2 linked regions of the Sus scrofa genome follow. The protein of the gene in region 1 interacts with the protein of each later gene in a pairwise test. Links are inferred from orthologs where the notes say so. Each region holds a gene or a part of one and is shown on either strand. Other genes may lie near its edges.

Region 1 (3,649 bases):
TCCCCATGTGCGAGATTCCTTAATACAGCCTCATGACAGGTCTGTTTAAAGCGTTATGTGTTGAAGTCAATCAATCAGAATGTCAGTGTCTTCTGCAGTCATGAAAATTCTGTTGAGAATTGTGACCCTTCTGAACTAGATCCCTTTCACTGGACAGGCTTTACTTTTGTATTTTAAATTCTTTTCTAAATTTTTATCTATAATCTTCCTGATTTTGAGTGGCATAATAGCAGGATTTCTAAGTATGTATTTTTGATTCTTTGTTGTCAATCTCTACCTTATTTCCTTTAATTCCATCTTGATAAACAGACAATAATCAGTGCAGTGATGTTTTACTAATAATGGTTTAAAAGACTTCATTTTGTTGTTAATGAAGCTTTTTTAAATAGAAGAATTAAGCAATTACTTCTTGAAAATAAAAGATAATGGCACATCCCAAAGCAGCATTCTTATTCTAGAAACACATCAGAATCACCAGTGGAGCTTTTATGGGAAAAAAGTTCCAGTGTATTGTCCCACCTTTGGAGATCCAAATTTAGTAAATCTGAGGTTAGGTTTAGACATCTAAGTCTTTTTGAAAGAAACTCTGTAAGCAGTGATAAGAACAGCTAAAGGTAACAGTAACAACTACCTTTAATTACTATTATTTAAGAGCATGACAAGCCAAGGTGATAGTAAATTTGTCACTTTCCTTTAAATGATAGGAAAAAAATGAAGAAAGTCTGGGATAGAGCTGTTGACTTCCTTGCTGCTAATGAGTCTAGAGTTCGCACAGAGACACGAAGAATAGGTGGTACAGATTTTCTGGTTTGGCGGTGGATCCAGCCTTCTGCATCCTGTGACAAAATATTAGTAATACCTTCTAAAGTGTGGCAGGGTCAAGGTATGTATTTTTAAACAACAACAACAAAAGTAATTTTTTCAACTATAGAAGTCTTAAGTGTTTAAAATAGTACAACTGAAAGCTTCCTTCCAATTCCATCCCGTAAAAGATAGCAGTGTTAAGTAAGTCAGATGAAGACAAACATATCACTTATGTGTGGAATCTAAAAAAAGATACAATTGTTTACAAAACTAAAATAGATTCAGATGTAGAAAAACTTGTGAATACCAAAAGGGATAATGGGATATGGGGAGAGATAAATTAGGAGTTTGGGATTAACTATATGCACTATTATATATAAAATAGATAAACAGAGGATCTATTCTATAGCACAGTATTTTGTAAAAACCTATAAGGGAAAAGAACCTGAAAAAGAATTTATATAAATAAATATGTACACACAGACACACACATAAATGTATGTATAAAATCACTTTGCTGTATACTTGAAACTGGTACAACATTGTAAATTAACTATACTTCATTAAAGAAAAATTCAACATGAATTGATAAAGTATTTTTAAAGTGTCCTGCTACTTTCTATATTCGTGTTTCATCCAGGTTTCAGTGTATTAGATGTTCATAAACTTTATGTCAAGGACTGAATTGCCTTAATTTGCATATTTCTAAATGGGCCATGTAAAGAATTATAAATTTAAGTCTCCGTTTACTTGACAGTCTTTGATAAACAGTTATACTGATTAAGGGTTCATGGTCCTAGAAAGGAAGGAGAGTAAATTAAGACACTTACTACTTTACAAATATAAAAAAAAGTGTAATTACTGAGATAATTTCAGCTTGAAGGCAGAAAATCCTGAGATAAAACACCTAGTAGCTATTTGCTTGAAGTATCCCAATTCAATTTTTAGATGGTTGGTAGTGATAAAGTGAAAGTCTATAGACTTATAGCAGGAAGATTTGAATTTTTTGAAGAATGTCATCATAATAAGAATTATTACAAGAGGCTGATAATGAGAAGTTGTTGGGATTTTCTTAATGCTAGTTATGTATCTTACAGAAGGAATTCAATTTTAATATTACATCTGTTTTTATGCTATTAAATATATATAGTTTATTTAAATGTAACTAAATGACTGATCTAGCTTTTTAAAAATAATAGTACATAAAGGTTTGGTTTGATTTAAATATATCTGAGCACAAATATTGTGCTGTATAAAAATGGGCATCTACTGTTTGTTTGGGTTTTTTTGGGGGGTGGGGAGGTCACAGGTACAGACTATGGAAGTTTCCAGGCTACTAGTCAGTGATGGTGTTTTTATGTGAAAAGATAGTTTAGCTTATTAACAAGCTTAATGTTTCTCTCCTTATAAATGCAGTGGTTTAAAAGGTACATGACTGGAGGAATGGTCATTATAGTAGTCTTTTGAATTCACTACCACTACAAACTGTTGTCATTTAATAGTATGTTTCCCAAGTAATTGTTAAGTAATCAACCTTATCGAATATTTAGTTCAATTTCTAAAAAATAATTAAATATGAAATGAGTGATAATATAACATTGGTGTCTCTCAAGTTATTTAATTAATTTATTTATTTTTTGGCCACACCTATGGCATATGGAAGCTCCTGGGCCAGGGATCAAACTTGTGCAGTAGCAACAACCTGAAACGCTACAGTGACAACACCAGATTCTTAACATGCTGTGCCACAAGAGAACTCCCATCTCTTAAAGTTATTATAAAACACCAGTTAAAAATTAATACCTGCTAGGGAGCCAGAGTCTTATTTAATGCTTCTGACAATATAGTGTTTGGAATAAACAGCATTCACTTAAGGCACCCAAAGGTAGTTCCTGAGGCATTTGAAATGTATCATTTAGTAACTGCTGTACCTCTATATGGCAGTGGTAATTAGGGTTTAGTTAGGAAGACAAAGCTTATATCTTAAAAATCAGTTTGAACTTTGGGACTACTTTCTGACTAGAATTGGCCAGGAATAGTTTCTCCCAGGTCTGTTATTTTGTGGAAACTCAGGTTTAGGCTAGCATAAGGTGGTATGAATGCTTCTGTTTTCTCTGGTTCTTCCCCTGCTGGCCCAGGCCATTATTGGAATTTCAAGGAAGTCAGATTATTTGAAGCTAATGGGTCATCTAAGAACAGAACCTGCATGCTACTAGAGAAATTTGGAAGCTATTAGAGGTTCACACACCATCTTGATCTGGGGTTTGGCAAAGATTTTTCATGTCTAATTATCATTCTTCCACACCATATCAAGCACTGTTCAGACATTCACACCCCAGATGTTTCCTGTCACTGGTACATCTGAAATCTTTAATTGATATGCTCTGTTCTGTATCACAGACTCATCTTTTCAACTTTCCTGATTTATGTATTTGAGAACTCCAGAATCTCTGATTTTTCAGTGCACCTTTCTCCAGTTCCTTAGCCTTCTTCCTATCTTTACTTCTTTTCCTATTCATCTTCATTTCCATGATCTATCTTTTCAGTCTCTCTCTTCCTAAGTACCCTTAAGTCATTACCTATCCTTTTTTTTTTTTTTTTTTCCGGGTCGTCTTTTTGCCTTTTCTATGGTCTTGTCCCATGGCATATGGAGGTTCCCAGGCTAGGGGTCTAATAGGAGCTATAGACGCCGGCCTACACCAGAGCCACAGCAACGTGGGATCCGAGCCTTGTCTGGAACCTACACCACAGCTCCCGGCAACGCCAGATCCTTAACCTACTGAGCAAGGCCAGGGATCAAACCCGCAACCTCATGGTTACTAGTTGGATTTGTTAACTACTGTGC
Region 2 (3,649 bases), on another chromosome or scaffold:
GAATCCTCCTATCTTTTATGTATTTATTTACTGCTGTTTTACATTTTAAGCCTCTTTATTTTGCCTTGTTCTGTTTATTTTTTTCAACTGAAAACTGTTTAAGACGAGATGGGAGAGAGATTAGTTTAAAAACCAAACTAGTATCATTTGCTGGTTTCCTCTGCCCGACTCCCTTCCGCACCCGTTGGGTTTGATGAACAGGTTGGTGGCAGGGAGACGGTTTTGGAAGGTTTGGAGCAGTGGCAGACCCAGGGTGGGCTCAAGAGTGAAACAAATTGAAGATTATTGCCAGAATTTACACTTTGTTCCCCGGCTGTCGGGGATTAGGGCCCAGGCCAAGTAGCGGAAATAAGGAGAAAGCTGCAGGGGTGCCAGGAGGGCCTCGTGAGGACACCAGAGCCCCACCCACAGTGTCCAGCCCCTCCCAGTGATGCTGATGCTGTAGGCTGTTGATGAAATTTTCACCAGCTTGTTTGCAGAAACGTGTTGAACTTGGTCTCAAGGGAGGCTCTTTGTCTCCCTGCCTGGCTGGAAGGAAAGCAGAGGCAGGGTTGCAGCTGCAGGGAAGCACGCTGGTTAAAAAGCTGGAGAAAGGGTAGAAAAGGTATCCTGATGGGGTCCCCATGGTCTGCCTTTGTGCCCTGAGGCCTGGCTTGTTAGCACCTGGACCATGGAACTGGGACTCTGTGAGAGTCAGTCTGGGAAATGGCTGAGAAACTGAAAAGAGCAGCATTAGCTTTTAGTATGCGATGGTTGGCCTGAGAGCCAAGCTCTTGGTGCTTCCTTGGCCTGATACTTTGTTTCTGGCTGTCATCTGTGCTGGGGTCCTAAGTGGGCTCACTGTAGCCCGTGGGGAACTCGTTTTTCCATCACACAGGCTTGTTTGTGGGAAAGCCACACCCTTGATTTTATTTAAGAAAGCACAAGACTTGTGCCCATGTTCTGTTTCAAAAATCTCAGTGTTGGAGTTCCTGCTGTGGTTCTGCGGTTAAAGAACCCGACTAAGATCCATGAAGACTCAGGTTCAATTCCCTGGCCTTGCTCAGTGGGTTAAGGATCTGATGTTGCTTTGGCTGTGGTGTAGACCAGCAGCTGCAGCTCTGATTCCACCCACTAGCCCAGCAACTTCCATCTGCTGTGAGCGCAGCCATTAAGAAAAAGAAAGAGAGAGAGAGGAAAGAAAGAAGGAAAGGAAGGAAGGAAGGAAGGAAGGAAGGAAGGAAGGAAGAAGGAAGGAAGACGGAAGGAAGGAAGAAAGGAGGAGTTCCCATCGTGGTGCATCGGAAACAAATCTGACTAGGAACCATGAGGTTGTGGGTTTGATCCGTGACCTCACTCGTGGGTTAAGGATCTGTCGTTGCTGTGAGCTGTGGTGTAGGTCAAAGACGTGGCTTGGATCTGGTGATGCTGTGGCTGTGGCATAGCCGACAGCTGTGGCTCTGATTAGACGCCTAGCCTGGGAACCTCCACATGCCACGGGTGTGGCCCTAAAAAGACCAAAAAAAAAAAAAAGAAAGAAAGAAAAAGAAAGAAAGAAATGAGAAAGGAAGAAAGAAGGGAAAGAAAGAAGCACATTGTTGGCCTCTTATTTGTTAGCTGGCTATGAGCTTTCCAAAAGAAACATGTACGCAAATTCTGAAATAGAAGATAGTTGTGATCTTCTATTTCCTATTATTCCGCTACTGGGAACTTGAAACCAGTGAGAATCTAAGCGGGTAGGGAGAAGGTTAGTGCTAGCAGGCTTCTTGAAGCCATGGGGATTAACAGTTTGAGTGAGTCAATTGGCAGTAGTGAAATTCAGTTGGTAAATTCCTAAGAGCCCCTAGATTTAACGCAGGAGACCCTGAAACTCCTTTTCTTAAGAAATCCTGTGTAGCTTTCAGAGATTTTTCCATCCATCAGGGAAACAACGAAATGCAGAGGTCCTTTCAAAGTGGGTTGTGTGAAAGTGTCAGTGCTCTCCTGATCATTATAAAATGGCACGGCCCTGGGGAGGCAGAGAGCTTCTGGAACTGGCATCTAGTGTTTGCCTCCCATGGAATTTTCAGGGCGTTTGTGTAAGATGATGACATAGTAGTGATCCCCACAAAGGGTCCACCAAAGCCAGCATCTGAAGCATCCAATCTTCTGATGGGGAGGTTGAAATGGCAACTTAGTTGCTGAAGAATTTCAGCACGGAAGAGAATACATGTTTTAAGTGTGTGTTTACTGTGGATAAAGACATCTTTTTTTTTTTTTTTCTTCAAACTTTGTAGCTGATACACCCCCACCTGCTTACCTGCCTCCTGAGGACCCCATGACCCAGGATGGCTCCCAGCCCATGGACACAAACATGATGGCACCTGCACTGCCCTCAGAAATCAACAGAGGAGGTAAGATGAGTTGCTGCTTACTCCCTTTTTTAAGTTTACCTGGGAAGTTCCTGTCGTGGCTCAAGAATAATGAACCCGACTAGTATCCATGAGTACACGATTCAATCACTGGCCTCGCACTCAACAGGTTAAGGATCTGGTGTTGCCGTGAGCTGTGGTGTAGGTCACAGAAGGGGCTCAGAACCCTCATTGCTGTGGCTGTGGTGTAGGCTGGCAGTTGCAGCTCTGATTTGATCCCAAGCCTGAGAACTTCCATATGCCGAGGGTGTATCCCTAAAAGGACAAAAATAACAAGTTTATCTGTCCATGTGTTACTTTCATAAGTTTTTAATTAGTCTTTTAAAAGATAGCTATTTGAGAAACACAGGCACAGTAAGAGGAGCTCCATGGAGAGAATCATTCTGTGGGTTACAAATAAGCCTTTATATGAACAACAGACACATGCCTTTAACTAATGAAAGCCTAGATATAATTGTACAGTCATCTGTTTAGAGCTTCAATACTTAACAACTTTGAATTGGTGATAGAAGAATATTTTTTAAGTGAAAGACAAAGGGATACTGAGAGAAAAAATGAGCAAAGACAGAAGTAGAGTTTTCACTGGTGATTTCCCACTTGAAAACTTCGTATAACCAGGCTTTCCAAAAGGTTCCTTAGTTCCTCCTAAGCCCCATCCATTTTCTAGTCCTCATCTCTGTACAGCTGTGGCTGAAACAAGCGAAAAATTGTTCTTTGCTCTATTTACTTGTTTCTAGCCTTGTTTCAAGAAGGCATAGAGGCACGTATTTTCTGTGTTCTCACCGTGAAGGGCTTATCTCTTTCCCTCTCGGGAAAGATGGGTCCGCAAGATCCCTGAGGGGAGGCCACTGGCATCCTGCCAGGTCTGCAGGGGCAGCTTGAGCAGGCTTAAGCAGACAGAAAGCCCAGGTAGCTAAAGTGCTGGGAGGATCCCTGAGCATCTGGGAGAAGTCTTTGACCACCTGCTAAATGAAACTGTCCCCAGGTAACCTCCCCTGGAGGAAGGTGCTTCCCTGGGGCACTCTGCAGTGTCAGAGACTTTCAGTCTGGGTTCATTTAATGCAAATTGAAGTTAACATGCAATTTAACTAAGTAGATCTTATCTCATTCTTACCACTTTTTTAGTAAAGGTCTGGAGATAGCTCAGACTTTGTCAGAGTTGCTCATATTTTTTAAGTTCTTAAAAGTTACTGATGAGCTCAAAGAGCCTTCCTTTCCTGTATAGTGTAATAAATAAGAATGTACACCTTTTTAATCTG

What was found. The genes of interacting proteins can lie anywhere in the genome.
Region 2: the proteins of LEMD3 (region 1) and SMAD1 interact in binary tests that used the Homo sapiens proteins (3 or more experiments, as listed by UniProt). The link is inferred for Sus scrofa from reciprocal best matches to the Homo sapiens genes LEMD3 and SMAD1.

What each region holds. Positions count from the first base shown.
Region 1 is NC_010447.5:29,662,209-29,665,857, forward strand, and holds part of LEMD3 (LEM domain containing 3), read left to right. Parts: coding exon 1-39; intron 40-704; coding exon 705-883; intron 884-3,649.
Region 2 is NC_010450.4:82,921,823-82,925,471, reverse strand, and holds part of SMAD1 (mothers against decapentaplegic homolog 1), read left to right. Parts: intron 1-2,255; coding exon 2,256-2,372; intron 2,373-3,649. UniProt on the Homo sapiens protein: Transcriptional modulator that plays a role in various cellular processes, including embryonic development, cell differentiation, and tissue homeostasis.